Regions from separate parts of the Mus musculus genome. Here regions 2, 3, 4, 5, 6 and 7 are each reported to be linked to region 1. The links are microRNA targets in miRTarBase. Many come from high-throughput screens and were not tested one by one. Region 1 holds a microRNA gene; each other region holds the end of a gene's coding sequence. Distances are between the middles of the regions.
What was found. The annotated mature microRNA mmu-miR-466f-3p reads CAUACACACACACAUACACAC and lies in region 1 at 2,121-2,141, shown strand. An mRNA with a match to its seed (bases 2 to 7 or 8) in the 3' UTR can be bound and repressed. Matches are read on the target gene's strand: a 7mer-m8 pairs with bases 2 to 8, a 7mer-A1 pairs with bases 2 to 7 and ends in A, and an 8mer does both.

Region 1 (3,000 bases):
ATGAAGATTTAGAAATCATCCTGGGATTTATGTGATGGCCCCTATGTATGTGCCTGTGTGTGTTCTTGTGTGTGCATGTGCATGTGTGTATATGAATATACATATACATACACACATACACACGCACGTACACACACACAAACACACACATACAGGAATGGCACTTATCAATCCATTTGAATGGTATGTGACTTAGAGTTTTAGAGATTATGCAATAGGGGACAGTGAATGTTCTCACTCACCAGGTGTAAACGATTGACAGAGTCAGGAGGATCAGAAGTTCAAATTCATGCTTACCTTCAGTTAGAGATCATCCTGGTATTCATATGTATGTGCATGTGTGTTTACGTGTGTGTGCATGTGCATGTGTGTATATGAATATACATACACATACACACACACATACACACACATGCAACACACACATATGAATGACACTCACTGATCACTTTTAATGATATGTGACTTATAGTTTTAGAGATTATACAGTACTGGGCCAGTGAATGGTCTCACTCAGAAGGTGAAAATGCTTGCCAGAATCAGGAGAATCAGGAATTCAAATTCATGCTCAACTTCCTGAGAATTTAGAGATTAGTCTGTGATTCATGTGATGCCCCCCATGTATGTGCCTGTGTGTATAGTTGTGTGTGCATGTGCATGTGTGTATATGAATATACATATACATACACACACACGTATAAACGCAAGCACAAACACACACAGAGGAATGGCACTCGTTGATCCATTTGAATGATATGTGACTTAGAGCTTTAGAGATTATGTAGTATTGGGCCACTGAAACTTTTCATTCACCAGGGAAGGCTTGCCAGAGCATCAGTATCCAGAGTTCAAAATCATGCTTAACTTCATAATGAGTTAAAGATCAGCCTGGGATTCATGGGCTGTACCCTATATATGGGCAGGTGTGTGTCTTGTGTGTGCATGTTCATTTGTGTATATGAATATGAATATACACACACTTACACACTCATGCACACACACACACATCCATTTGAATGATATGTGTCTTAGAGCTTGAGAGTTTAGGCAGGACAGTGCCAGGGAGAGATCTCACTCACCAGGTAACAATGTTTGCCATACTCAGGAGGATTAGGAGATGAAATTCATGCTTAATTTCATGATGAGTTAGACATCAGCCTAGAATTCATGGGATGTCCCCCATGAATGTATGTGCATGTGTATATAGTTTTGTGTGCATGTGCATGTGTGTCTATTAATGTACATATACATACACACAAACATATACACGCATGCGCAGATACAGACACAGAAATGGCTTTCATCGATCCATTTGTATAATATGTAAATTTACTGGGCCAGTGAGACATCTCACTCACCAGGCAAAAACATTTCTCACAGTCAGGAGAATCAGGAGTTCAAATTCATAATAACTTCATGATGAGTTAGAGATCAGCCTTGTGTTAATGTGATGACCCCTATGTATGTGCATGTGTGTATATTTATGTGTGCATGAAAATGTATGTATATATGAATATACATATACATACATACCCACACAAACATGCACACACACACAAACACACCCACAATTGCCACTTACCAATCCATGTGAATGATATGCAACCTAGAGGTTAGAGATTGAGTATTCCTTTGCCCAAAAGAGCTCTCTCTCTCTCACCAGGTGAAAATGCTTGCAGAGTAAGGAAGAACAGCAGTAAAAATTTATGCTTAATTTCATGATGAGTTAGAGATCAGCCCGGGATTTGTGTGTTGCTTGCTCTATATGTGTGTATACTTGTGTGTGCATGTATATGTGTGTATATGAATATACATATACATACACACCCATATACACACGCATGCATGCACACACACAAATACATATACACAGGAATGGCACTCATCGATCCATTTGAATGATATGTGACTTAGAGTCTTATAGATTATGCAGTAGTGTGTCAATGAACGGTCTCACTCACCAGGTGAAAATGGTTGACAGAGTCAGGAGGATCAGGAGTTCAAATTCATGATTAACTTCAGTTAGAGATCATCCTGGCATTCATGTGATGCCACCCATGTATGTGAATGTGTGTTTACGTGTGTGTGCATGTGCATGTGTGTATATGAATATATGTATACATACACACACACATACACACTCATGTAACACACACACACACACACACACGAATGGCACTCATTTATCCATTTGAATGATATGTGACGTAGAACTATAGAGATTATGTAGTACTGGGCCAGTGAGTGCTCTCACTTTCTAGTTGAAAATGCTTGCCAGAATCAGGAGAATCAGGAGTTCAAATTCATGCTTACATTCATGAGGATTTAGAGATCAAACTGTGAATCATGTTTTGCCCCCCATGTTTGTGCATGTGCGTATAGTTGTGTGTGCATGTATATGTGTGTATATGAATATACATATACATACACACCCATATATACACGCATTCATATGAACACATCAACACACACGCAGGAATGGTATTCATCGATTTATTTTATTGATATGTGATTTAGAGCTTTAGAAATTATGTAGTACTGGGCCAATGAAACTTTTTACTCACCAGATATAAACGATTGGTATAGTCAGAAAGATCTGGAGTTCAAATTCATGCTTAACTTCATAATGAGTTAGAGATCAGCCTGGTATTCCTGGGATGTACCCCGTGTATGTGCATGGGTGTATAGTTTTGTGTGCATTTGCCTGTTTGTATATGAATATACATATCCATACATACAATCATATACAGGCACACAAAGACACACAGACATGAATGGCACTCAGTGATTCATTTGAATGATATGTCACCTCAAGTTTTGGAGGTTATGCAGTACTTGGCCTGAGAGGGGTCTCAGTCAGCAGGTGATAATGTTTACCAGAGTCAGTAGGCCCAGGGCCTGGCAAACGCAGAAGTGGATGCTCACAGTCAGCTATTGGATGGATCACAGAGCCCACATTGGAGGAGCTAGAGAAAGTACCCAAGGAGCTGAGGGGATCTG
Region 2 (3,000 bases), not on the chromosome of region 1:
TGAGCTTCTGAGGCTCCGACGGCATATGCTATATATTAACAAACTTGGTTAGTTTAACGAATGGGCTTAAATTGGATTAAGTATTTGTTTTAAAAACAAATGTTTGAATGCTGCTAAAATATAACTTCTTATACAATGCCATCACATTTTGGCTTGGTTTTTTTTTAACATCAAAAGCTAATAAATAATAGAAAACATTAATAAAATAAATACTAAGTGAGAACACTTAGTAGTATCAGATAAGAACAGTGATAAGAATAAAAATATAAAGAAAACAATACACACCTTTTGGTAGAAAAGTCAGAAAAAAAAAGGACATTAAATTTAAAGAGCTGGGTATGTTGTGGGAGAAAAGCTAAGAACTTTGCTTGTGATGTGATCATGACTCAGCATCCATCAGTCTCCTTGGGCTAGACCCCTGGGACTGCCAGTGGGGGCCACACAGAACACAAGGTCCACCACCAGTCTGGAACCCTGCAGAGCCCCGCACATACTCCCAATTAACGTCATTGCTTCTGAAGGCTTCTGAGTCTCAGTGGTAATGCATGGGTGAGCGGCAAGAGCTCAGCCTGGGAACGTCCTGGGGGCCTTCTGGCAGGAGCCCGACTCAGAACGGAGGCAGTCAAACTCAAAGCGCTCAGCTGGGCCTAACACCTAGAAGCCCAGCAATGAGGAGGCTGAGGGAGATCATGATTTTTGAGTCTAACCTAGGCTACATAGCAATTTCCAGGCTAGCCTGGGCTACATAGGGAGTTCCAGGCCAGTTAGGTTAACTAGTAAGATCTTGCCAGAAACAAAAATCAAGATGGTGTTAAATGAACACCAGAGTTGGAGGTCTAGGCCTCGGCAGTGGGCTCAGGGGAAGTGGGCATTGAGGCTTATAACCTTCTGTAGAGGTGAGCAACAGTGGTTCCTCTTCACTCTATAGAGTCACGCGAACCCATCCTGGAAGCCAGCATGGTGGGGGAACTTGTCCACTGTGCAGAATCCAGAGTTCTAGATGCATGAGGCTCCTTTCTGCCCTGCCTCTTCTGCCACTGTGGCCGTGCAGAGAGCTGGTGTGAATTGGTGGAACAGGGAAGGATGGACCTTCCCCAGCGAAAGTGAATCTCAGCGTGGAGACAAGCACTGGCCTGACACATGCTGACTCTCAAGCACGCCAGACAGTCATGTGGAAGCTAGGCGCCTGTCCTTATGATCCCGACTTCCATGGCCCCAGCAGAGCCATTTGGGCCACTGCTTCTTCTCTCTTCCTCTGTGGCGCCTAGACCCTCAGGACCAGCTGAGGGAGGTCACGGGGAAGAGGAGCTTGCGAGAGTCCTCAGAAGCAGCACCTCCCTTGGCATCCTATGTGCACAGGCTGGCATCCTATGTGCACAGGCTGGCATCCTATGTGCACAGGCTGGCATCCTATGTGCACAGGCTGGCATCCTATGTGCACAGGCTGGCATCCTATGTGTACAGGCTGGCATCCTATGTGCACAGGCTGGCATCCTATGTGCACAGGCTGGCATCCTATGTGCACAGGCTGGCACAGGGCTCAGGAAGCACAGACATCCAGAGACCTGAAGGCCTTAATAGGGGCAGGGGTAGCACACAGAAGATACAGTACGTGGTCGGCCACAGTGCCAGCTGAGGGATCAGGTCACACAGGTGAATCAGATGCTGTGTGAACGGGTCCAGGGGAGCACAGGGCCTGGGGAGAAGGCAAAAAGCTGGATGGGGACAAGCATGCCATGCTTGGTGGGCCTCAGTCACTGTGACAGAGGAACCAAGTACAAGAGTCACCAAGACTACAGAACTTCAAGGAGGCCACAGGGATGAGAGGCAAAGGCCTCAGAGTCTAGTCAGCTCTGAGAAGAACTCTGGAAATGGAGCTGACTGGCCAAGGTGGTCAAAGAAAGTCTCTCCGGAGGCCACCTTCAGGTGTGGACTCGCAGCGAGGCGCAGCAAGAGCTTCAGGCTCTGCAGAAACACAAAGACAAAAGACAGTTCTCCAGCCCTCATTCCATCTCTAGACTAGGGGGAGCTGCAGAACTCACAGACCCTGCCCTTCCCAATCCTACCCTACACTACAGCAGCAAATGTACCCCTCTGAGGGGAACCTCAGAGGAGCTGCAGGGTCAAAGCACCAGCAGGGGGGCACCATGGGCCCACATTTGGCAAGAAGATTCATTTGCCCTTTTCTTATAAGGGGCTGAGGCTCAGGGGCATGGAAATGTAGCCTTGGCAATTGTGGGTACAGGACACCTGGCAGAGCCAGGGCCCTGGGTGAGGGCAGAGGGTGTCTCTTACAGAGATGCTAGACAGGGCTGAGGGTTCAAGAGCTCAGAAGCAGGAGGGCTCAGGAATCCTAACCTAAGTCCAAGCCAGGGCCAGGCCTGGCGTGAGAGACTAACAGCCCCACTGCACAGCAAACCTTTCCACTTTCTGGGGGTGACGTCTCACTCACTCCCTGCTCCCTGAAGAGGCAGCCGGGCCTCTGTCCCATCACCCCACAATGTGGCTGTCACCATCAGTGCGGGCCCGTCATTCGGTGTCAGGGTCTTGGAAGCCCCAAGCCTCCACAGCTGCGATGAGGAAGTTCTCAGAGCAGAGGGGCTGGTTGTTGAATGTGTCACAGTGTCCAGTGCGCCCTCGATTCAGGTCCCCATCAACGTAGAGTGCTTGACCACCTCCTCCCCCTGTGGGATGTGCAGGGGAACAGATGTCTTTCTGCTCCAACAACCACCCTTCCCTAGATACCCCATCGTTTTTGTCCTTGAAGGGTCTGCTAAATAGTAATCGCAGGAGAGAGATCCCTCGAACTACAGAGGTTCCTCTAGAAGCACACATTTATCTAGGTCTGACTCCCTACCTAACGCTTGCTTGCTAGCCCTTAGTTTCTATCTCTACCCCAAACAACCCAGGTCCTTTTCCTTTGCTTAACTGAGATGTCTACTACTGGTAGTCAACAAGGACTGGGCACAGAGGCTTCAGCTACCCACAAGTCCCCTCCGA
Region 3 (3,149 bases), not on the chromosome of region 1:
CGCCTCTCTGTGTTGCAGAGCACTCAAGAGTCCCCATGGATGCCCAACCAGGCTATCTCAGAACATGGTCTGTTCCTCCAGCTGATTCTTCCTTTTCAGGATTAGGGCAAAGCATGTACTTGGTAGTTGGGATAAGCTGAGCAAAAGGAAGGAGCACAGGTGTGGATGCCTAGCTGAATAAGACTATCCCCAGACATGTAGGAAGTGTCCTGGATGTTTATTTTATCCTTGTTGCTGTGTTCCTGTGGACAGAAATGACAAAAGCAGAATCAGAAGAAAGGGGGAAGAGCTGGGGTTACTACAGGAAGCTAAATATAGACTGAAATGGGAAGTAGGAATGACTGAGGGAGGCTGAGGAAAGAGCCTCCCTCTTCTCTCCCACAGTTCTGAACTCTTGTTTCCTTCCTCACAGGTTCCTCCATCCCCATGCTTGTGCAAGCTGCCAATAGTCTCCTGAAATTATCTGTGAATCCTGCTGTCTTTGGCGTCTAAACATGTCACCCATGAAAGGAAAGCCTTTTCTGGCGACCACTGAGTCCCTTATTTTCTATCCCTATCATTTCTTTTGTCAGAAGTTAACATAGTCTCCCAACATGTTTTCTTCTTTGAGGATTTTATTTTATTCATATGCAGAATGACACACGGAGTTTCGAGACCATTTACAATATAATTACAATATAATGATTGGCATGAGATCTATAGTAAGCATGCAGCATTAACCATGAGCAATGCTTAAATTAATACCCTGCATTATTGTTATCCATTCTCTATGCAGAGCCATGTAGTATGGTCAACAAATGGCTTTAAACTCATAGAATAGCCCTACCAGTTAGCACAGACATGATGGATGCTCCTCAGTTGAGGCAGTACTACTAGGACTATGTGTCCTGAGTACCTCATGCTGTTATGAATTTTTGCCCTGCCCATTGCCTTCACATCCCTCTTAATCTAAGGATTGTATGAAAAGTCTAAAGTGGCTTCCAGCCCCTCACTGGGGAGTATCATTGACATTAAACAATAATAATGCCTGATATCTTTTAGGCATTGTTGCTGGAGCAGATTAGTGATCCAAGTACTACCATAGGAAAGAACTTAAAAAGATGTGGATTTTCAGCAATGTTCACCATCCTTAAAACCTTTATTTGGAAAAACAAAGTTTTTAGTAAGCCTATGTTAAGATTTTTTTTTTGATTGTTTGTTATTGATACTGTTTTAAAAAATCTTAGTGAACATTTTGAACTTCTGTAATGCACACACATATTCATTAAACTATGGACATTTCATGGTCAGAGAACAAGAAAAATGGCAACATTGGCTAACATGAATCTCACTGAGGCTGGACTGCTCCTGATTGACTTGTTATGTCTAGTTTTGCCCTCAGCTTTCTGATATGATTTAATAAGAATTGCTGATGTCTAGGTAAACCTTCTTAGTATTTAAAGTAGTTAAGACTGACTTTTATATAAAAGTTCAGATTTGTGACTCATTGGAGATTTTTGTATGACTACTCTTAAAGATAAACACAATAATTAGTCCTTCCTTCGTAAGTGCAAATTGCTGCCTGAGAGTAAGAGGAGCTGGCTGAGAAAACTCCTTTGCTTACTCACACTTTTTAAATCTATAAAAAGTTGCTTAGTTATGAATGCACATGGGTTCTTGGGAATACTTTCTTTTATTTACCTGTACTATAAAATGTTATTTCTTGTAAAGATATTATATAACATCCTGGAAATTTTTTCATAGTCAGTCACTAGAAGGAAAATAGAAAGTACTAAAACTGTAATTTTATACTGTCTAAAAGGTTTTTCTGGGATATATAAGAGATGGGAAAAATAATGTTGAAACTTTGCTTCTTCCACCTCCAAGTATGTGTGTATATATTTATACATGTGCTTGTATGTATGTATATGTGTAAAGTTTGTGAATTGGAACTTTGTTCCATCTATCAAATTTATATGTATGTTATATGTAAAGCTTGTGTGGGTATGTGTTGGAGCTTATTCCAACCAACTGTGTATATATGTGTGGATATGTGCAAAATGCTTTTGAGCCTGCTAGTTCAAACTTTGTTTTAGTCACCTACCAGCTACATACATACATGTGCATATGTATGTATATATGTATATATATACACATATATGTGTGTGTGTGTGTGTGTGTGTGTGTGAGTGTGTGTGTGTATGTATGTATGTGTGTATGTGTGTATGTGTGTATGTGTGTATGTGTGTATGTGTGGAGCTATGGTCCACCCATTCCATCTGTCTGTCTCTCTCTCTGTCAGTATGTATGTATGTATGTATATATTTGTATGTATGAAGTTTTTAGAGTCTGGCTTTTGCTTCATTTACTCAGTGTGTGTGTGTGTGTGTGTGTGTGTGTGTGTGTGTGTGTGTGAAAATTTTCTCTTTCCTTTTGTTTCTCACAACTTCTAGGAGTTAAAAGAGTTCAAAGTTTTTCTCTGTCGATGGGGAGTACCAGCCCCAGTACATTATGCTTTGTTCCCTCAGAGAAAAGTCTGCTGATTACTTCCTGTAATCGCTGACATGGGAAACAACCTCCATTGATATCTTGATCATGCCCTGTCAGCTGCTCTCAGCAACCTCTCCACGGGCTTTCTGCTGCTGTTTACCCTCTGGCTGTCAAAGCTACTAAATGGCAACTCACTTTTGCTCTAGAATGATTATCAGGACCATAGTAGTAAGCTTTATGTTCATAAGAATTGGATGAAAGTTGAAAATCAACATGAAGGTAACAGAAAGACAGAAGCATTGCCCATGCATTTCCCATTTCAAAACTACTATGGATATCTTGAATAGATTTAGTTTTTTATTTTTGACTATATCTCATGTCTTTGTTTACATTTTGTAACTAATACTGGTTTAACTAATACAAGGAGATAAGTGTTTCTCCTTAATCTCTTCACTCCTTGTAAGATGACTGGGAATTCTCAGATGAAGCCTGGGCTATGAGGTTCCTTGCCAGGCTCAACTTAAGAAATAGAGAAAATCAGCTAGGATTAAGGATGCTTGCGTCGATCAGTGTTCTTTCTTCTTTTCTTCTTTTCTGACACTGTGACAAAATACTTGAGAAAATTAACTTAATGGAGAAAAGATTTTGATCAGGAGGTGACCCAGTGTACAAAATACATG
Region 4 (3,149 bases), 110 Mb from region 1:
TACTCGCTGAGTCATCTCACCAGTCTCAGCTTTCTCTTCTTATCCATCTTCTTCTTCCATGAAACTATAGATATCTGTAGCTTGCCTGTCCTTAGAACTGCCCTCTAGTTTCACAAGAATAAAAACACTTGTTCAAGCCAGACACAGTGACATATGCCTGTACTCTCAATATTTGGCGAGCAGAGGCCAGAGGATTGTTGAATCCAATTCTCTCTCCATCCCGAGTAACTGTCTTCTATAAACAAACTCACTACTTATTGACCACACTGATATAAAATTAGCTTTTCTCTCTATGTTAGAATTTAAGTTTAAATTATCTTAAGCTTTTGTGAGCCAGACAGCTCGAATGCTTCTATGTTGTATGTGTTAAGCTAAGAGTATTTTTTTTTCTGTTGCTTGGGATTCATATTGGAGCCACATTTAGTTGAAATTAGTTTATTTTTACAGCTTGAGTCATTAATAAAAGTAAAAATTACAAAACCACAAAGAATATTGATAGTGTCAAAATAATGAATATATTTACACATAAAACACACAAGAATTCATACAAGGAAAATGAATAGTTAAAAAAATTGAGATGAAATACAAATAAAGATTTTACTAACTTGGCTAGGTGATGTTCAAAACCTTAACACCACTTTTTTTTTTTTTTGGTTTTTGAAGACAGGGTTTCTCTGGTTTTTTTGTTTGTTTGTTTGTTTTGGAGTCAGGGTTTCTCTGTATAGCCCTGGCTGTCCTGGAACTCACTTTGTAGACCAGGCTGGCCTCGAACTCAGAAATCTGCCTGCCTTTGCCACCCAAGTGCTGGGATTAAAGGCGTGCGTCACCACACCCAACTTTAACACCACTCTTATATGGCACATTTGTAAAAGCGGGAGACTTTCAAGACAATAATCTATTGTTTTAGCAGGGCCCTTTTGGAGGTTGGGGGTAGGGTAAAGACCCTGCTTCCTTGTGAACATCTACTTTACTATGCACCAAGTCTTGTATTAAGAGCATGATGAGCAGGTTTGCTACACTCCCACAGTGCAGAATAAAACAGTAAGGAAATCCTAATGCACACGTTTGAAAGGAACTCAGATCCTAGCTTAAACATAAGGCGAAGTACTTACAGGACTGATGAGTGAGAAAATCTTGAGACAATTGTTACAATCTCTACTTTTAAGTATACTTGCCTCCATCTTAAGAATAACCCTAAAATAATAAAATAAAAATAACCCTAAGTAGGTAAAATATATTAGTATTTTCCATTACAAACCTCTAAACTTTAGCCAGATATGATACCACATGTCTGTGATTCCAGCACTAGGGCGGCAGAGGCAAGGAAAATCATGTGTTTGAGACCACCCTGGGAAACATAGTGAGTTCAAGTTCTGCCTTGGCTACATATAGGAAGTACCAAAACAAAGAATTCTAAACTTTTACACGAAGACTCCGTTTCTTCTCTGTTGGTCCTCAGCGTTTATTTCCTAACACAGCCAGGTTCAGTGAGTGATCTATCTGCCAAGAGGAGTTATGAGACTTGGTGTCATCACTCACAGCAGTGACTCAGTACAGCAACTCAGCTGTTACATGGTTTTTTTTGTTTTGTTTTGTTTTTTCGAGACAGTGTTTCTCTGTGTAGCCCTGGCTGTCCTGGAACTCACTTTGTAGACCAGGCTGGCCTCGAACTCAGAAATCCGCCTGCCTCTGCCTCCAGAGTGCTGGGATTAAAGGCTCGCGCCACCACACCCGGCTTTGTTACATTTGTTGAATGCTATCTACCATCAAAACTGTTAGGGACGAGGTGCTCTGCAATGCCAGGGACCAGTACCAAAGGTACTTTCTACTTGGTACGGACCAACATCCTAGGCTCTCAGAAGGAAAGAAAGTATCCCACACAAACTACACTGTACAGTCTGTTCAAACTGAGCCCTTCTCAGCCTCTTATTACATAAGTTTCTAGATGGGTCAGCCAAGGAACCACCACTTTACGAAGTCTTCAAAGGGTTACAGTCCTGGTATGTAGCTAATCTACAATCTCACAGGAATAATCACGACAGTTTCAGATTCAGGAACATTCAATTCAGAAATGGTTTTAAAAGATGTAATGCAGAATCATAGCACACAATCTTCTGTATGAAGAATGTTCAACTCACTTATAATAAACTATCATGCATATAGTTAATCTTTTTTGTTGTTAGTAAAACAATTTTAATTCAATGTGAGTGCTCTGCTGCACATACATCTGCAGGCCAGAAGAGGGCATCAGACCCCCTTATAGATGGTGGTGAGCAACCTTGTGGTTGCTGGGAATTGAACTCAGGACCTGTGGTAGAGTGGCCAGTGCTCTTATCCCCTGAGCCAACCCACCAGCCCCACAGTTATCATTTTTAAGCTTCACTGAAGAAAGAGAGTGAAAACATGTAAAGAAGTGAAGCCATATGTACTCCAATGTGCTCGCTCTCTCATGTGCGCGTGCACATACATACATACATACATACACACACACACACACACACACACACTTTCATTTTTCTATTTTTGTGTGTACAGGCACATACATATGATGACACAAGTGTGGACACCATAGGATCGAGTATCTGTGGGAATCAGTGATCCCCTTCTGCTAATGTGGATCCCAGGGACTGAACTCAGGCTGGAAGGCTTGAAGTAGGAGCTTTTTCCCACTGAGACATCTTTCTGGCTCCACTATTCCATTAATATTGCTAGCAAGAAAAACTATCAATATCCCTGTCACAACAATCTAGAAACGGACTTCTTTGACTACATGTAATTAATCCAAAGTAAAGATGACATCACTTGGCCCTGGAGGTTTCGGTGTGAGCCTTAGGAAAAAAAGGTAAAGGAGGCACTATGTCAAGTTCATGAAGATGGCGTTCTTCAGTTAGCATTTTGGGGATATACAAGGAAATTTCTGTTTGTAGTTCTCGCCACTTGAGTATATTCTCTGCCAGTTCTTCTGTCTTGTTCACCAAAATATCCATCTTGGCTAAAGCTTTGCTCTGTAACATTTGAAATAAAGAAAAATAGAAAAAAACCTGTCATTGATTACAGAAATAAATACTTCAAAAATTAGCATTGGATCTTTTTCTAGTCCTTTAGTGCTGGAGCGACAGCTTGGCTGTAAGAGTATACTTGCTGCTCTT
Region 5 (3,130 bases), not on the chromosome of region 1:
GCCGTCCGCTCTCGGCGTCTTCTTTAATGCAGCGGTAAAACTGTGACCCAAGTGATCATTTCTTACACTTAGCTACACTATATTATAGCCACAAGTGAATTTAAAATATTTTTCTGTGAAAGAGCCAAGACTTTGGGCGTTTGGTTGCTTTTTATTCTTTTGAGTATTTGAGGGAAGGAAATTAGACAAAGGGCGTATCTTGATGTTCATTGTGGGCTTTTCTCCCTTAAACACACACACATACCATACACACCCACATACCCACATATACACCCCCACACATACACACACCACACATACACTCACACCACACACACATACATACCATACACACATACCCACATACACCCACACCCACATATACACACACCACACACACATATACACACACACCACATCCCCACATACACATACTAGCCCCCCACATACACACATAAACACACATACCATATACATACATACATATATATATGTATGTATATATATATATATATATATATCACCACATACACACACCACATATATACACTCCACACACACACATATACACACACATTGCACATACACACACATATATACACACACATAAACACACACTGCACACAAACATACATACCACACCAACACCCATACACGAAACCACACACACATACGCACACCATTCCCCCCATACAGACACACATACATACACACACACACACACACACACACACACACACACACACACCACCCAAAGATACTCAGACAGTAAGATAGTAGATCAGGTCAGATAGTATTCTTACCCCTTGGTAGCTATGCTTTTCCAATATTCCATAAGCATAGGATTTGTCAATGGAACCACTTATATTTCAACAAATAATCTCTTGGAGGGATTGTGAAGTAGCCTGTCAATCAACTGTGCAGTTTACACCCTTCTTCTGTGTATATAAGAAGACTAAACAGGAGGTTGTGCTATGGTAAAAATAAAATTCATTTTCCTACAAACTCAGAAGACACTTGAAGAATGAATTCCACTATGTCTTGGACAGCCATTTAATTTTTTTCTTTTTCTTTTTTACTGACTTTAAATAACTCAAGCCACACCACAATAACACTTTGTCTTTGCTGTCTGAATACCTGGACTGTATCTGCAGCTCCACAATGGCGCCCTGCATAATGAATAGTTCTACTTAATGAAAGGGCATGGGACATTATCACTAATTAAAAAGATGGGAAAGAACTGGTGGTATGAGACACTTTATTCACAAGTCCTGTCCTGTTTGTAGAGAATGCCTGTTCCCTCACGACATTAGCTGCTGCCCTCAAGCCTGTCATTAGACACACTAAAGTCCCTTTGGCACGATGTAAAGAAGAGTCTAGTATTTCTTACTCTTCTGAGCGATACAAGTTTCTAAAATGAAAGTCTATAGTACTACTTGATCGTGGATTTGAATGGAGAGAGGAGTCCTTCATATTCCAAGACTTGCAGCCGGTGGGGTGGAACTGTTCTGTGTTCTCAAAACATGGGCAGCTCTTGGCACTGCCTCCACCCCCTGCCCCCAATTTCTCACTTTCTTAAAGAATCTAGGGATAGTAGTTAGGCAAGAGAGCCCCAGGAGGAGGCGTGATGTCTACCCAGAGGACCCTGACATCTCTACCCTGACTGGAAGTTTCCTCCTACTGTCAGCCCCACATCAATCCAAGTGTCTAGTCCTCCTATAAACGAGAGGCTCTGACTATCTTAGATTTGCAAGAGGAACTCGGGACTTTATCCTACATTCTAAGGAAAGGGGAAGTAGAACTCAAAGAGAAATAGCTTGTATTATCAGTTGCTACTGAAGAAAAAGTAAGGGTATCTTTAAATTTCTCTCATTAGCATCTTTTTGTTTTAATAACACAGTTTTTGGGTTTCAATTTTGTTCTTTTGGACATTTATGTACATTAGAAAGTGTTATAGCTGTTTTTGTTATGAAACAGCAAATTGCCTGAAGCAGAGAGGTTCAAACAATGTTGCACATTTCCACATCAAATACTGATTTCAAGCTAGTAATGGGCATTGTGAATTCAGTAACTCATCAGCCCGATCCTAGCCCATACCAACCACCATTCAGGATTAAAGAGTCAGGAAGAATACATTGCCACATAATCATAATCTATAAAAATACTGCCTAGAGTACACTAAAAAACTCTCAATAAATAAATAGCAGACATTTGCTTTATGAAAATCATTGGAGATGTGCTCTTCGGAAGCATGTCCATACTTTCAGGCCTTTTACAAATCACAAAGTCTGACAAATGACAGAGACTATAGGTCAGGTTAGGTTTCTGATAAAAAAGTCTTTTGACGTGGGTATCTGTAAAGAAATGCAACTAAAAGTGGCGGGCTGCTCCCGGTTCAGTTTCGAAGGCAATACTCCCAGAGACCTGGGGTGTTCCTAGCCATGGCAGTGTCACTGAATCAAGGCTTCAGTTGCTCTTTCCAAGAGACAACACTCATTAGCATGTAAGCGTTCTGGAATGTTCTCTGGCCGCTGGGATCTGTCCATGGTGCTGAAGGACGCCGCTCTTCTCGGTCACCCATTCAGTTCCCGTTTCCCTGCCTAGAGTTTAAGTCCTTCCTCTCCTGCCACACAGCGTGGACACCGCTGTCCACCATGTTCACCCCTCAGAACACAGGCTTACCCTCGGCATGATTCACAGCGGGTGATTCTGGTTTCCAGTCTGGTTGGAAAAAGTGAATGTTGAATGTCCGTGCCCAGTTCTTAAACACCCGTTTCTCTGTAATGAAACGGTGATGACTGCCCTTGCGTCCTCGCTCGTGAGAGAGGTACATTGTACATTCATCGGGTCCTGAAGGCTCATAGTAATGATAGGGTACGGAAGGATGCTTTGGGTCCCTGTGGGAGGAAAGTGGGACAACTGTTAAAGCAAAAGAGAGGAAAATAATGCAAACACCCAAGCCATACCCGACATGGAACACACTTTTTCAGTGTTACTGCAATAAGCTGATAAACACAAACCATATTTCGTATTTCCTCATCAAAAGAACGTCAGCTGATGGGTTTTTGTTTCTTTCTGGTGTTGAAGTAATAAGAAAATGGAAAGGTTTTGAGGATGTAAAGCAAGCATAGCATCAAACAGAGAGCTTAGG
Region 6 (3,149 bases), 20 Mb from region 1:
TATTGCAAGTGGCATTTATCATTTTCAGAGTTTACAGTTGGCAGAGGGAAATACTTGTGTTTTTAGCAGTGTGCTTGGTACACACCTTTAACCCCAACACCCAGGAGGCAGAGACCCTGGCCTCAGAGGCTCTACAGGATGAACAAGAGTAGCCTGAACTACATAGCAAAACTAAATAAAACATAGTATTAAATGACCTAAGGAACAATGCGCTGCCGGAAGTGCGTGAGATGGCTGGCTCAGTGGGTAAAGGTGCTCACAGCAGCCCTGAGTTTGCTGGGACCCACATGATAGCAAGAGGGAACCAATGCCAGCTAGACTCCCTCACCCGCAGGCTGCACACAAAGAAATATAATGTAAGAAGATTAATAATAATGTGTGCCCAGGCGCACCTCCTCCTTCCTAAGGCCGTCTCTGGCTGGCCGCAGCCGAACTGCAAGTGTCTTGGCAAGCATCTCCTGGTCTGTCTTAGAACACTCTAAGGGACTCTGGCTCTGTCCTTGCTCCAACTGTTTCCTCTCCTCCAAAGTCTCAAGTCCAGCCAGCACAGCACCGACACGCATGGTAAAGAGCACAGTTTATTAAGGACGACTCATCAACAGCCCTGGCCTGCTGAGCTCCCGGGAGCTGCAGGAGCTCAGGCTCGGGGTTCCCCCTTAAGAATCAAGGGCAGATCCTTCCCTCAGGCAGCGTCCAACTGCGGAGCCACCCTACCCAAGACAAAGTCTCCATGTCCTTGGCCTTCATCTCAAGGACCAAGTGGTGGGCACAGGATGCAGGTCTCCCACAGAAACAAATCAGATGCAGTGATTCCAGTAGCATGGTCCCAGGAAACGGGGCAAGGGGTGGGGTGGGGGAGGCAGGCAAGAAGGAATGAATGCATCCGCGTCCTGGGCAGCATTTGCTGCGTCCCAGTCAACAAAGGGAGCAGTACTGGGGCTGAGCTACCAGCTACCAAGTCCTAGGTCTGGGGGCGGTCAAGATGGCGGGAGTGTATATGGCCTCCCTTATACTCGGCTCTAGGGTAAAGCTGGCAGCCCTCTCAGGCAGGAACGGGGAGAGGATGTCAGGGTTAACCTTGGGGAATAAGACAATCCATATTTGAATTCTCCAACTCCTTTAGCATCCTGGCCACTCCTCCCCAGGTCACTTGCCACTCTGCAATAAATAGCTAGCCTGTGTCCAAATAAATAGTAAAATACGTCCCAGGTGTTGTGTATTGAGAGAGAAGGTAGTAAAAAGGCAGGTAGAGTCCCAGCAGCACTCAACCCAACCTGGCTAAAGCAATGGCCTGGGAAGGAGGCAGCCCTGCCCTCTGCTCTCAGGAAGGCTTCAGGTGCCAGCTACTGGAGCCTCACTCCTGCTGGCCAGTCTCTGGAGAAGGTTAAGAGCCCTTGCTGCCAACCTGCCTTCAGGACTCAAGCCACCTGACCTCCGGAAGAAACATGGTCAGAAAAGTCTATAGGGTTCAGGGAACCCAGCCCCAAAGTCAGAAGATAGATCAAGCACATGACCAGGAAGGCCAGCACCTCCGAAGCCTCCCCCCCCCCCCCCCCCCCCCGCCGCCTCCCCGCTCCGCCTCCCATGGGGGCAGATGGCAGAGGTAGCCCTCTGGTACTGTGAAGCTCCAGGCCTTCCAGTTTAGCCACCCTGGACCCAGAGAAGCTTTCTTTGGTCCCTTGCCCTTGATGAGAACTACACACACCAGATGGGAACATGGCCATCAAAGAGATGACATCACTCCTGAAATGGCAACTCCCAGGCACACAGCAGCCAGGGTATCTTACTCTCCAACTGAAGGCTCTCCCCATCCCTCCTTTCTCCATTCTTGAGTAGAAAATGGGCGAGAGGCTCAAAGCATCACAGGCTGCCATTGGAGCAGGTACTGGGGATTCCTGCTCTGACATAGAGGACCTGGAGGCCTCAGGCTGGGGATGGGAACAGGATGCCAATAAAGTTGGCCTCCAGGGCTTTCTCACTAAGCTACACTCCTGAATGCTGGCCTCAGGGAGCAGAGGGGAGGAGAGCGCCAGGGTAAAGAGGACAGACAAAAGAAAGACAGCAGGAGCCACACACGCCTCTGGCAAAGGAAGAAAAGGGACAGGCAGAGGTAGACACAGAGGGGAAGCAGGGCCTTAGAGGGTTCCCACATACCCTCACCCCACTGCCAGGGCATGTGTGAACACACATGTATACATACATACACACACACATACACACACACACACACACACACACACACACACACACAAAGCAGAGACCTGGGAGACAACCCTACCGGCCACAAGCAAACACACCGGACAGGGACAAACGGTGGCCCTAGAACTGGCAGTCACTCAGCTCTTCTGGGGTGCTTCCCCAGGCAGTCTGAGCACCAACACTCAGAAGTTGTTTCTGGCCCATTAGCTAATTGCCTCCCCTGACCAGGACTCAGGGAAGATGAAAGCACAGGGGTGAGGAGCTACTGGGCAGAGGCATGGCAGGACCCTGTCAGCCTCCTAGGCCCCAAATGGCCCCAGCCCCAGGAAGCCAGTTCAGGAGCTCCGGCCCTGCTGAGCAGTCTGGGTGGAGGGTCCCAGGGCTGAGGTGCAGGGAGTGTGGCAGGGCTGAGCACTGGGAAGGAGCGCATCGCGGCGTGCTCCAGGAGCACCCTGGACCATGGGAACCAGGCTGGGAAGACCTGGAGCTGGCCAGGACTGTAGCTTCCCTTCAGGCTGGCTTTCTCACAGGCTCCTTTGTGTCCCCAAAACAAGGGTGTGGAGCAAGCGCAGTGGCTGCTCTTCCAAAGCTGGGACCCTGCTACCACGTTACTTCGAGTCTTGGAGTTCCTTGGCTTTCTGTAGGATCTGGCAGACGTCTGTGATGGGGTAATCCTGGAAAGCGGAAAGCGAAAGCAAGGTCATGCTCCTGGAGCAGCAGCCACTTTGCTCCACTTGCCACACCCACCACCTTCCCAGAGACTCGTTACCATGGAATGGCACCAGGGCCAGGGACCATGGTGTACCAGACACCCAGAGTAGCCTGCCCCAAACACTGCAAGTCACTAAGGTTCTGCGTCCCAAGGCCCAAAGGGTCTCACAGCCTGTATTAGAACCAGGGTACCCAAAGGCCTCAGCCCTCACGTCTGACACAGAAGCTGGAGCCACACC
Region 7 (3,000 bases), not on the chromosome of region 1:
TTCACTAATTTATGGGGTATAAACCACCATGCCAGGCTTTTCAGAATAAGAAAAAAAAAAAAAGTCCTTTAAGTTGAAATCTCAAAGCCTATAGAGATTTAGAAGCTTTGGCAAAATGTTATTTCAAAACTTTTTTTCCTTTGGAAACTACCATGGTAATAAAGGAGTATTATATATCAACAAAATTATTCTCTTTTTTAGTCAAAAATAACTTTCACAAAATACTTGGCTAACCCAATAGAAAAATACAAGTTACATTCTATCCTGAGGTTAAAAGAAAAGAAGTTTGGAGGGGAAGGGTTAGCATTTGCTGTGACTAATTTCAATGAAAAGGAACTTCTTCCCCACTCAAACTACCAGTCACATAAAAAAGAAAAGTAACGAGAAAACTATCACCTGTCAATCAATATACTGAACAATAAAATAATACAGTTATTAGTGAGGAGTTCAAATTGATATGACATGTAATGATAAATATTTTAAATGACAAATACTATTGTAACTTGAATGATACTTGGTCACTTTCATATACAATCTATTCCTGTCTTAATATTTGTTTCATGGAAACAATTCATTACACTTCTTGATTTTTTTTTTTTGAACAAAATGAAGTGTGATTTGTACATGGCAGAAAAAAATTCCTATGATGACTATTTGGTCAAATTCTAAGGCTACAGACGAAATGTAAGATTGCTGAGGATTGACATTCACAAGTAATTTTTTTACCAGTGAGAATTAAAAATTCTATATTATGATGGAAATCAATTTTGGTATTAAAACACCACAGTATGAAGCATAAATCTGATGACATTAGCTGAAACATAAGACATAGATATGTTTTTCCCTGACCTTAGCTATAAAACAAGACATTGGGTATGCATTTTCAAAGGCTTCCTTCTTATCTATAAAAATACACCTTCAATTTTGCAGCAGGCAGACATATTTGCAGGCATACATAATATATTAGAACTTAGAGATCTGGGGTGGCTGGGTGGCTCAAAAAGATTTTGTGCAAACCATTAGAGCCACATATCAAACAGGATGTCCTTCCTCTTTCCACCAAGGACTAAGGATTTCAGATTAGGCATAACTCTTAAAAGTGCCTTAAAAAGGCTTGACCTTGTTAAGCTTGTTCCGTTCACTGAGATGAGCTTACTTAAAAGCAGTTAAGAATAGAAGGACAAAGAGAATAGAATGTATGTCAGTCACTGCAAATTACAAACAATGCCCATATACAGGCATTCACTTGCAGTTGAATTAATGTGATAGAAAAACATTTATTATATTATATTATAATTTCAAATTATAGTAGAATCAAAGTAGTAACATCACTCAATTTAATTATGGAAAAAACCAGAGAAATATGCATGTATCAATCAAAAAATGTGGCCAATTTACAAACGAAAACAATTTTATCTAAATTTTACTTGTCTTTCCTCAATAATTTATAAGTGTTTAAAAAAGATCCCCAATCAGACGGCTGAAACTGTTTTCTCAACTCTGACTAGCCTACTATGTAGGTAGAGCTTCTCTGTGCTCTTTCTCAATGTAGGATACAGGAACTTCAGAAGAGGATAAGCCATGGCTTTCACGGAGGCCTTGATACCTCACATAAGAGGCAAAAATCTCAAGACACTTTGTTTTTTTTTTAAGACAGGGTTTCCCTGTGTAGCCCTGGCTGTCTCAGAATTCATACTGTAGACCAGGCTGTCCTGGAACTCATACTGTAGACCAGGTTGGTCTTGAACTCAAAGAGATCTGTGGCCTCTCTCTGTCTTCTGAGTGCTGGGATTGATTAACGGTATGTGCCCAGCTCTTAAGACATTTAAAGACTGAAATCTTGTGTACCTTCAAAGAAGGGAAAGGAAATGAGAGCTAGTGAGGCTGTAAGATGGGGGTGGAGTGGAGGAGAAATGGAAAACAGTGAAGTAAATGGAAAAGAAGGTTCTTGGTCTCAGGTGTGATGCCTAAGATCTGAAGTAATGATTTCAATTTTAATCCACTTATTAGGAAGGGCACTCCGCCCCACACCTGAAATTTAACATACTCAGTTTGGCTTTGCCACAAAACAGCATGTTAAAGGTCTCTACATTCAACAGGATGCTTACAAACATCATTCATAGTAAAATCTATGTGGAATTGTTGGCAATACATTGATAATAATAATACATTCTGTAAACCATGGCATACCACATTTTACATTATGCAAAGAGACAATATTTACAAGTCTTTAGGAGTTTAAATATTTTATCCACTAACATAAGTGACAATTTAGCAAAGTGCAGGAGGAAACCAGTGCTATTAATTGCATTTTCTTTAAGAGCAGAGTAAAACCATTTCTAAAAGCTACCAAAAGCTTATTTGGGTGTGTCCAGTAAGGGATTACAGAGCATTAAATAGCCTAGAAAAATGATGCATATTTAGAAACAGTGAGTATGAAAATCATAAGGCAGCATGCTCAGAACAAGGTTTTTGTTTTGTTTCTTTAAACACCAGCACTGATGTTTTTAGTGTTAACGATAAATACGGGTATATGTTTGCATTTATTTAAAAATTGAGAGTGCAAAACACAAGCCTCATTTAATAACAAAAAAGATGTGCAAATTTTCTTAAATTAACACAAATAAAAGAGTGAGAAGAATAGTCTACTGTTGTAAAGAATAAATTGAACACAGCGAAGGAGACTGTCTCCATTCCAAGATCATCTACAAGGCACTAAGGGTAGGAAATGACAGATAACACAGAAGAGACTGAAGAAAACTCCTCAGTCGGGTCGGAATATGGGGTATTTTGGTAAGAATTCTATTAGTATTACCTGTAAAATAAAGACAGAAAAGAATATATTGACAAGATATTTTTCATTTAATGTACATAACCCACAAAATCTTGTTGAGTACCACAGGACTGCATTTTCATCGTGGATTACAGGGAGTGATTGAAATGCAAAAAACAGTTATTCAAAGAATTAGGTTATGACCAAACAGGCCTCTTGTTTCCAAA

Region 2: miRTarBase lists Tbc1d24 as a target of mmu-miR-466f-3p. Seed matches in the 3' UTR shown: 7mer-m8 at 278-284.
Region 3: the mRNA of Vwa5a is a reported target of mmu-miR-466f-3p. Seed matches in the 3' UTR shown: 8mer at 1,871-1,878 and 8mer at 2,012-2,019.
Region 4: miRTarBase lists Haus2 as a target of mmu-miR-466f-3p. Seed matches in the 3' UTR shown: 7mer-m8 at 2,480-2,486.
Region 5: the mRNA of St6galnac5 is a reported target of mmu-miR-466f-3p. The part of its 3' UTR that is shown has no 7-base or 8-base seed match.
Region 6: the mRNA of Tbc1d13 is a reported target of mmu-miR-466f-3p. Seed matches in the 3' UTR shown: 7mer-m8 at 2,213-2,219 and 7mer-m8 at 2,201-2,207.
Region 7: the mRNA of Chic1 is a reported target of mmu-miR-466f-3p. The part of its 3' UTR that is shown has no 7-base or 8-base seed match.

The regions. Positions count from the first base shown.
Region 1 is chr2:10,466,609-10,469,608 of GRCm38, forward strand. It overlaps Mir466f-2 (microRNA 466f-2), which reads left to right and starts at 2,067; the gene lies at 2,067-2,160. All of the region lies in intron 10 of Sfmbt2 (Scm-like with four mbt domains 2), which reads left to right. Mir466m (microRNA 466m) reads left to right here and starts at 55; the gene lies at 55-138. It overlaps Mir466f-1 (microRNA 466f-1), which reads left to right and starts at 336; the gene lies at 336-429. It also overlaps Mir669f, Mir669e, Mir669b, Mir669d and Mir669l.
Region 2 is chr17:24,178,712-24,181,711 of GRCm38, forward strand. It overlaps Tbc1d24 (TBC1 domain family, member 24), which reads right to left. Exons shown (of 8, transcript NM_173186.4): 8 at 1-2,684. The coding sequence ends at 2,530. Among named protein-coding and RNA genes, the nearest start is that of Atp6v0c, 11 kb to the left of the region's middle.
Region 3 is chr9:38,741,282-38,744,430 of GRCm38, forward strand. Vwa5a (von Willebrand factor A domain containing 5A) reads left to right here. Exons shown (of 20, transcript NM_172767.3): 20 at 413-2,056. The coding sequence ends at 492. Among named protein-coding and RNA genes, the nearest start is that of Olfr920, 9.9 kb to the right of the region's middle.
Region 4 is chr2:120,618,831-120,621,979 of GRCm38, reverse strand. Haus2 (HAUS augmin-like complex, subunit 2) reads right to left here. Exons shown (of 6, transcript NM_025475.3): 6 at 420-3,005. The coding sequence ends at 2,799. Among named protein-coding and RNA genes, the nearest start is that of Stard9, 8.7 kb to the left of the region's middle.
Region 5 is chr3:152,818,867-152,821,996 of GRCm38, forward strand. St6galnac5 (ST6 (alpha-N-acetyl-neuraminyl-2,3-beta-galactosyl-1,3)-N-acetylgalactosaminide alpha-2,6-sialyltransferase 5) reads right to left here. Exons shown (of 5, transcript NM_012028.5): 5 at 1,019-2,876. The coding sequence ends at 2,645. It also overlaps a transcript of Pigk not described here. Among named protein-coding and RNA genes, the nearest start is that of Gm40181, 64 kb to the left of the region's middle.
Region 6 is chr2:30,149,424-30,152,572 of GRCm38, reverse strand. It overlaps Tbc1d13 (TBC1 domain family, member 13), which reads right to left. Exons shown (of 12, transcript NM_146252.3): 12 at 559-2,873. The coding sequence ends at 2,808. Among named protein-coding and RNA genes, the nearest start is that of Gm31080, 12 kb to the left of the region's middle.
Region 7 is chrX:103,389,275-103,392,274 of GRCm38, reverse strand. It overlaps Chic1 (cysteine-rich hydrophobic domain 1), which reads right to left. Exons shown (of 6, transcript NM_009767.2): 6 at 1-2,815. The coding sequence ends at 2,765. Among named protein-coding and RNA genes, the nearest start is that of Tsx, 24 kb to the left of the region's middle.